2 linked regions of the Canis lupus familiaris genome follow. The protein of the gene in region 2 purifies or fractionates together with the protein of the main gene of each other region. This does not show direct contact. Links are inferred from orthologs where the notes say so. Each region holds a gene or a part of one and is shown on either strand. Other genes may lie near its edges.

Region 1 (4,071 bases), on a different chromosome or scaffold from region 2:
ATTCTGGTTAAAAAACTAGTGGGCAGGAAAGGTAATATAGATTTTGAGCATAGAATCAGAAGCTAATTCACTTCTATTTCTCAGAACATTAGATTTGCTGAGGGGGAAGGGTAGGGTTCTTGCCAAAAGCACTAAGGAGAATGACTCTGAGCATGCCTTAAAGGAGAATTTTCAGTAAACAGGAATTACCTATAAAGAAAATCAGGAAGCCAACGTGTTTCTTTTTATGAAGTTACATCCTGCCATAGAAAAGCTGGATAGGAAATAAAGACTGATGCACTCCGAACTGTATACTTAACCGGCTATTAGTTCATCAAGGAAAATCTGAGCAAAAGCTGAGATTTGGTGAAGGGGAGGGGGGGGAACCATGAGTAGCGAAATGTCACGAGAAACCAAAGACAACCAACAGCTACAATTATACATGGTTTTGGGGGGAAAAAAACTATACAAACAAATCTCTACTCTGTGATTTCAGATTCCTAAGTCGCCACCTGCCCTCTCCACCCCTCCCCCTATTTCAATACTACTTCTTCCAGGCTTTTGCTTGAAAATAAATGTGTGCGTCCACGGAAATGCAAGAGTAATAGATTAATCTTAATCTCCTCCTTCTCTTTATTATTATTGATATTAACTGTGCGTTTCCAGGGTTCTCCGGGTCTTTCGGAGTTCCTGGGATTGGATCTTACCTTGCTCCACACTCCCCAGTGTGATGAGCGGCAACATCCTCACCACCTAACCCTTTCCCAGTTTACCCTCCCACCTTCAAATGAAAAGGCAGCAGAAGGGCAAGAGAGCCCTTTCTCCAGGCAGGTTCCCCTGGTTTTGGGTGCGGGGGGTGGGGGGGGGTGGGATGGCAGATGCCTTTCTGCAGTGGCAGCTGCAACCTCCCGCAAAGCAGGAGCTGCAGCTCGCACTGTCCCCTCCTTCCCCCGCCCGAGCCCACGACCTCGCGAGTCCACGCGATCCCCCGGAGCACACACAACTCCTCCAGCCTCGCATCCCCTCTCGCAGCCCACTCGGCACGCGCGCCAGGACGCCTGCTGCCACAGTAACGCCCCGCCCACTCGGCGGCCCCGCCCCCGCCGCGGCCCCGCCCCCGCCGCGGCGGCCCCGCCCCCCGCGCCGCGGGCACCAATGGCCGCCGGCCGCAGCTCCGCACGCGTGCTGCGATAGGCCGGCGCGGCCTGCCAGTCTCCGCGCGCGTCCCGCCCCGTCCTCACTCCGGGGCTGGGGCTGGAGGGGCCGGAGCATCCGCGCGAGTAGCTGCGAGCAGCCGCGGCGGCGGCGGCGCGTCCCTGCAGTTGCGCCATCTGTCAGGAGCCGAGCGGCGGGGAGGGGGCTGCCGCGCGGGAGGAGGAGGGGGCGCCGTGAGCGGAGGCCGCCCGCGAAGGCAGAGGCGGGCTGCCCCGGGACGGAGGAGCACGCGCGGCGCTGCAGCCCCCGCGCCCCGGCAGCGCCCGCCGCGCACAAAGCCGGCGAGAGGGATCCGGCCGCCGGCCCGGGCACACGCGGCGCCGCCCCCTCGGCGCCCTCGGGAGGCCCCCGGCTCCCGGGCCCGCCGAGCCGCCTCGGCCGCGCCGGAGGAGGGCGGGGAGGACCATGTGCATGGGCTCCGGAGCCTGAGCGCCGCGCAGGTAAGCGGCCGCGGGGGGCGGGGGATGCTGCGGAGACGCCCGCCCCCGCCCGGCGCTGCAGTCTCGCCGCCGCCGCCGCCGCCGCCTCCGGGGCGCCCCGCGGGGCTGCCGGGCTCCGGGCCGGCGCGGAGCGGAGCGGAGCGGGGGACGCCTCTGCGGGGCGCGGCCCGGGGGGCGCGGGGATGCGCGGGGGGCGAGGCCGGCCCGGGCTCCACCCTCGCCCTCCTTTCGGGGGCCCCCGCGGGGACCCGGCTGTGCGTGTGCGCGCGCGCGCGCGCGCGTGTGTGTGTGTGTGTGTTGTCCTAATGTCAGGGATGATGTAATCACTTAATAATTGATGCCCCGTGCTGCTCCCCTCCCCAGCGCACCCCACCCCTGCCCCACTCCCCCTCGGCCTCCTCCCGCGGCCGTCGCCGTCCTCAGCGCATCCTCCTGCCTATTTCTGGCACCTCCCTAGCACTTCCCCCATCCTCCCCTTCACTCTTCCTGTGCCACCACCCACCCAGCCTCCCCCGGCCCCCGTGCTGGAGCCCTCGGCCTCCTTCCTCTGCCTCCCCACCCCTTCTGCTCCCCCAGGCTCCCTTCTCCTCCCATCCCTGCCCGCTGGGCTTCCTCTCCACTTCCCCACATCGAGGACTGTTTTTTGTCTGGTCGCCTCCGCCGCTCTTATCTCTGCGGCCACAGGCGGAGGGGACCCGGCCAGAAAGAGGCCACCGAGGCTGGGCCCAGGCGGAGATTTGCTGGGACTCCGTGAGAAGAGGGATAATAAAAATCACCCTTCTTGCCCCTCCTCCCCTTAATAAATCACACAGACTCGCCGGGTGTGTGTGTGTGTGTGTGTGTGTGTGTGTGTGTGACACAAAGAGCCCTTTCAGTGCACAGAGAGGAGACGCACAAAGTACCCAAGGATGGGCACGATGATTCTTATTTCTCTTCACTAGGGCTTCCCTTTCTCTCAGATAAAGCAGTTGATTTTCTCTCCGAGAGTCTTTCCTGCCACATTGACCAGAATAAATAAATAAATAAAAGGCCCCAGATGCTGCAGGGTGGCAGGTGCTGTCATTTTGCCACATTCATGGACCCAGTGCTGTTGACTGGCAGCTGCAGTGTTCCTTAGATTTAAGGGGGAAATGATGCCAGCCGTCTCCAGAGTTGCTTCACTGTCAAGGTAGCCCTCCTCTGCCTTGTTTTAACCTCCTCTCTTCGGGGGATAGGTACTCAAGAGCTGGGGTGCAAAACATGGGTGTGGGGGCAGAAGAATTTTGCTTCTGCATCAGATAATTGGCGTTTAGTAAGAGCGAGGCAGCCAGACTTCTTCTCTGAAGTCTTAAGAAATGCTGAAGTCTTGAAATGAAATTTCGTCTGCCCAGTGGTGTTGTGTTGGCCTTATATTTAAACAAGTTTCTGGGGACATCAAAAAAACATGGCCTAAGTTGGTATTTGGAAGACCACTGGAGACCGTGCCTCTTCCCTGCTTCAGAGTAGCCTTCAGACACCCACATCCTTCCTCTCACCACCCAAGCGATGGCAATACTTTCCACCCTTTGTGCTCTTTCTCCTGAGTCCTGATCCCATGGGTACTGTGCTTGCAGATGTAGGGACTCAAAGGCTTTTGGAGGAAGTGGTTTGTTAACTATCTCATGTTTGGGCACACTTAAATGAGAGCAAAGGATGTAGAGAATCTTGTGAAGGAACTTTGAACCATCTGTTTGGTGTTCCTCTCAAAGAGGAAATGTTAATGTAAATCTAGAGGCTTAATGTTCCATTTTGTAAGCCGGTGACCATTACATGCTTAATCGATAATGTGAAAACTTAGTTTGAACCCCATTGATTCCTAAGAACATGGCTCCTTGACTATTGTAAGGAATCCGTTTCAAGTTTGTGCTTCAAGAATTTTATCAGAAAAGAGTTATGATTCACTAAACATTTACTTCTCCACTTTCTAAGGACATTCATCGTGGACCTTTTTATATTAAAAAAAAAAAAGCAATAGGGTTAATGAGTGTACTGTAAAAACAAAGGGTTGTTTGTTTGATGCCAGACCCAGGAAGGAAAGTCAGTGCACAATAAGCTCACACTGTGTTGACCAAGCTAAAGAGACTTAATGATAAGGTTGAATGTGAACAAATGCACACTCTGCTTTCTGTATTTACTCTATGCTTTGTACTGGGTCTGGACTCTCCAATCCCATCTGATTTTCTTGGGTTCTATTTAACCTTTCGGGCTCAGCTCAAAAGTCTGATGCTTTTTCCATCCTCCCCTCCAAACAAATCACCACGCCTCCAATTTTGTTTTCAGACTTCAGCAGTAGGCATTACGTTTGGCATGTCTCTGTTCCCATCATTAGTCGGTCAGCACATTGAGAGAAGGAAGCTGGACTTACTTATCCTATATCAATAAATGTAAATTAGGTCTTTGGTATGTGCCAGGCACCTGG
Region 2 (4,244 bases):
TGCTGGCCTACTATCACCAGGTTTGTTCAAACACCACCCATCGTCAGACCCATCAGAATTAGCAGAGCCCCAGAGGCTGAACCACATGGGGAGGGCCTGAGAATGTGCTCTGCAATTAAAAAACAATAACCAACAAAAACATTACTCAGGTGATTCTCACACAGCCCAACCTTTCAGAAGCTCTGCTCCAGATCCTACACTATACTTAAGGGTAGTAAGGATAAGGTGGTCCGGTGCTAGAGCACAGCACTGGCATCAACTGGGATCGTGTTAGGAATGAAGGATCTTCCCTTAACGCCTAGGCCTAGTGAGTCAGAAATCTGCATTCTTTCAAAATGCTCAGAAGATTCTGACAAACGCTACAGCTTTGAAAAACCTCTGCTGTTTGTACCCCGGTATCATCTGGAAAGCTTTACAACCTTACTGATACCCGAGCCTCACCCAGGGATTCTCCGGTACTTAAGTCTGGACTCCAGGGGTGCGGTCAGGGCAAAGGGCTCCCACCAGCTTCCCAAGTCATTCTGTAATGTACAGCCAGGTGGGGAGGACCCCTGTCCCCTCAGTGGCAGGCCCTCACGATTAAGCTATACCTGAGCTAACGTGGCTCTTCGGGGCTTGCCCAGCGCCCTGGGGACCCCTGAGAGCACACGGGGCGGGGTGGGGGGTCAAGGACAATGGACTCTGCAGACAAGTTCAACCTCGCGGCTCCAGGGCTCGCAGAACCCCGAGGCGGAGACTTCCTGCGCCTCCCCGCTAGGGAGCGGAGCGGGGCGCGGCGCCAGGCCCCCCCCCGCCCCCGCCCCGGCCCCGCCCAGCGCGCCCCCTCCCCGCCCTCCCCTCCCTCCCTCCCGCCCTCCCCTCCCTCCCCTCCCTCCCCGCCCTCCCCCTCCCCCGTGACGTGCCGCAGCCGGCCGGGATCATGCGCACTGGCGCCCCGCGCCCCGCACGGCTGCTCCGCCTCGGCGCCTGTCATTCTCCGCGGCGCGGCGGCGAGTGCGGACTGCGGTGCTGCGCGCGCGATGTGACCGGCCGCCCGGGAGCCCCCCGGAGGCTCTGCGGGGCACGGCGCCTCGGCTCTCCCGGTGCCGCGGTCCTCGCCGAGCGGCCGTTCGCTCGGAGCCGGAGACACGCGCCGGGGGCTCGGAGCGCCGCGCTCCGGGGTCGGCGGCGCCTGCAGCTCTGCAGCTCCGGGTCCGCGCGGCCGGTGCCGCCGCAGCCGCCGCGCCCTGGCCAGTGCCCCCGGCCCCGGGCGCGGCGGAGCGAGGCGGCTGGTGCAGAGCGGCGGCGCCTAGCCGTGCAGCCGAGCAGCCGAGCAGCCAAGCAGCCGTGCAGCCGAGCAGCCGTGCAGCCGAGCAGCCGAGCAGCCGTGCAGCCGAGCAGCCGTGCAGCCGAGCAGCCGAGCAGCCGTGCAGCCGTGCAGCCGTGCAGCCGAGCAGCCGTGCAGCCGAGCAGCCGAGCAGCCGTGCAGCCGCCCGGGCGGTGCGGGGCCAGCGGGGTTGCGCGCAGCCGAGCGCGGTCCCCCCGCCCCACCCCGGAGGGCTCCCGGTCTCCGCGTCCCGGTAAGTTGACTGTAGTTTCTGAAGTTGCAGGGAGCCGTGCGGAGGGGAGGTGCGTTGGCATGATCGTTTTTGCATGAAGCTGGGGGTGGCCCCCGTGTGTTAGGGGCCGCGCTCGGGCTCGGGGAGGTCGGGGTGCGGAGAAGCGGACCCGGCGCGCGGGGAGAGGACGAGTGTGCGGGTTGGAAACGTGCTGCGGGAGGACAGGTGCTCCCAGGGCGCTTCGCCTGCCGCTGACTGCACGTTCCGAGCTCCTGGACCGCGTTTGGCGGTGGAGGGAGCGTGCGGGGTCGCGTTACCTCTCTCCTGAGCCCTCGGGGGAGTGACCCCTGGACGCGATGGGTCTTTGGGGACGGCAGCCAGCCAGTCCTTGGGGCTTCGCGCGCATCCCACTCCGCTCTTCCCGTAGGCAGAAGTTGCCAGCGTCTCCCTCATTGGAGCCCAGGCGTTTAGGGAGAAAACAAGTTGTTAAGTCAACACGGCGTTTTGTGCCATCAGGCAAATAAAATGAGAAATCCGTCCATCGTCTGTGATTTCGTACATTTCAAGAATGTGGGCAAGTCTCAAAGAAATAGGATTTGGATGATGACACTTGGGTTTCACCCTGCCGGCCCTGCGCCTCTTATATAAGCCTCCCGGCGGGATAACCGTCTCTGCAGTGGCTGCAGCTGTGGCTCTCCCTTCCATTTGTTTAAGGTCCAGCTTGAACAGTATTTAATGAAAATGCTGACATGATATAGCGTTCTTGTAGTCTGAAACAGAGGGCACTCTTCAAATTGGAGTGTCTTCTCCTAGTAGGTAGCATGCGAGGAAGAACCCAGTATATTTTTCAAGGCAGCTCCAGGAATTAGACACATAAATCATGTTTTAAAATAGCGTGCATTGTGCAGAGAGCTTGCAGAGGACCCTTTTTGAACACATCCTCTTTGTTTTAGAAAAAGTGGGAATTGTTCATCCCAGACATTTGTTGAGTCTGAAAGTTAAGTGTACTACTGGTGGGCTTAATTATCTTAATAAAAAAAGAGTATGATTTATGGGTAGCTGTCCTGTCCTGCTTTGAAGGATAGAATTCTAGAACCTTTCTTTTTCATCTGTCCCCTAGAGATTCCCATTAAGTAGAGCAATACATTATCATCATTGATGTTTATTTAATATTTGAGTCAATTAAATTCGTAAAAAGAACACTTTGAAATAAATATGGTATTGCTATGACTTAAGACTGAAGATTCGAAATGAGAATTTTCAGGTTATTTGCTATCAGAGTCATTAGTTTAATGAAACAGCATTAAGCTGTTAATGTTTAACAGCATTAAACACACATCCTATATGTGTGTGAAGGTATATATACATATATATTTGTTTAAATTTGGATTTATAATAAATGTTTAAACCAAACTCAGGGATGTGTCTTAATGTAAGATTTATCTAGGCAATCTTGAGAAAGAGAAGTGCTTTTATTTATGGCATTCCAACACATAGAACAAGATGAGCTAGTTATAGGCCCTGCATTTAAAAACAAATCATAGGTTTTTGAAGAATTCTAGAAAAATATTAAAATGTTATTCCAGAGGCTGAAAAGTTAGTCAACACATTGTGGTTTGTGAGAGCGTCCATTGCTTATGTCTAGAAGAGAATAGATCCAAGCATGGAATGTCGAACAGACTCACCCCCATCAGCACTGTTGCCTTATGGTTAGGAGGGTAGACAGACAGCTCAGCGCCTGACTTGCTTACCATCTGTTTTTAATCTGGGCAAATTAGCTAAACTCCTGCCTCAGTGTCTTCATCTATAAAATGGGGGATGACAGTAGTACGTACCTCACGGGATTATGATGAGGATTAAGTGAGTTCATAGCTGTAAAGCTGTTGAGCCAGTGTCTGGCACGTTAGACTGATAAAATCATCATTACTATGAAAGGGAAATGCATCTTTGGATAACAGGGACATTGGACGGCTGCTTGCTGATGGAGGTTAATGGAAGCAGGTCACATGTATAACAGAAGAGAGAATATGAACATTTATTAAACACTTTCTAGTGATGCACACCAGCTGCTATTTAATTTACTGTCTCCCTCAATTCTTCACTGGGGTGGGTGGTTTCCTCTCCACTTGGGTGATGAGGAACTGAAGCTCAGTGAGATCAGATCGAGTTGGGATTTTAACTGGTTTCTTTCAAATCCTCTCCCTTTTGACCTTGCTGCTTCAACTTGCAAAGTACTTTTTCCATCTATTCTCCTTTAATCCTCATAGTAATAAGATATGTGTATTATTATCTTCAGTTTACAGATAAGGAAATTCAAGTTAAGCATTAAAGTATGCAAAGTGCTTACCAGGACTCACAACATAGTTCTCCAAGACTGGGAGTTATTATTATTACCATAATTATTATTAAATAACTTGCTTGGCCTAGCACAAGGTAGATGTGCAAGGGGGTGAAGTACATTTTCTCCTTTACTTTCAAGTGGATGCCATTGCTTTTTACTTCCCTGTTCATATATTCAGAGAATCAAGGGGGTAAAAGTGATATGTGACAGTTCACATTGGAGGACGGTGCTCTCTGGTTTGTTTCCTGCCTGCAGATGTGGCTGCAGTGACCCACATGGCCTAGAAAACCAGCACAGGCAGCTGTCATCTCCATCCACAAAGAGCATCATACCTGAGCATGAATTCAGTCCCAGCTGGAGAACAA

The links. The genes of interacting proteins can lie anywhere in the genome.
Region 1: the proteins of PAG1 (region 2) and FYN purify together in Homo sapiens (co-immunoprecipitation; 3 studies listed by BioGRID and IntAct, with this or other methods). This does not show direct contact. The link is inferred for Canis lupus familiaris from reciprocal best matches to the Homo sapiens genes PAG1 and FYN.

Annotation. Positions count from the first base shown.
Region 1 is NC_049233.1:68,719,603-68,723,673, reverse strand, and holds the start of FYN (tyrosine-protein kinase Fyn), read left to right. Parts: upstream 1-1,268; 5' UTR 1,269-1,634; intron 1,635-4,071. UniProt on the Homo sapiens protein: Non-receptor tyrosine-protein kinase that plays a role in many biological processes including regulation of cell growth and survival, cell adhesion, integrin-mediated signaling, cytoskeletal remodeling, cell motility, immune response and axon guidance.
Region 2 is NC_049250.1:28,910,264-28,914,507, reverse strand, and holds the start of PAG1 (phosphoprotein associated with glycosphingolipid-enriched microdomains 1), read left to right. Parts: upstream 1-1,437; 5' UTR 1,438-1,559; intron 1,560-4,244. UniProt on the Homo sapiens protein: Negatively regulates TCR (T-cell antigen receptor)-mediated signaling in T-cells and FCER1 (high affinity immunoglobulin epsilon receptor)-mediated signaling in mast cells.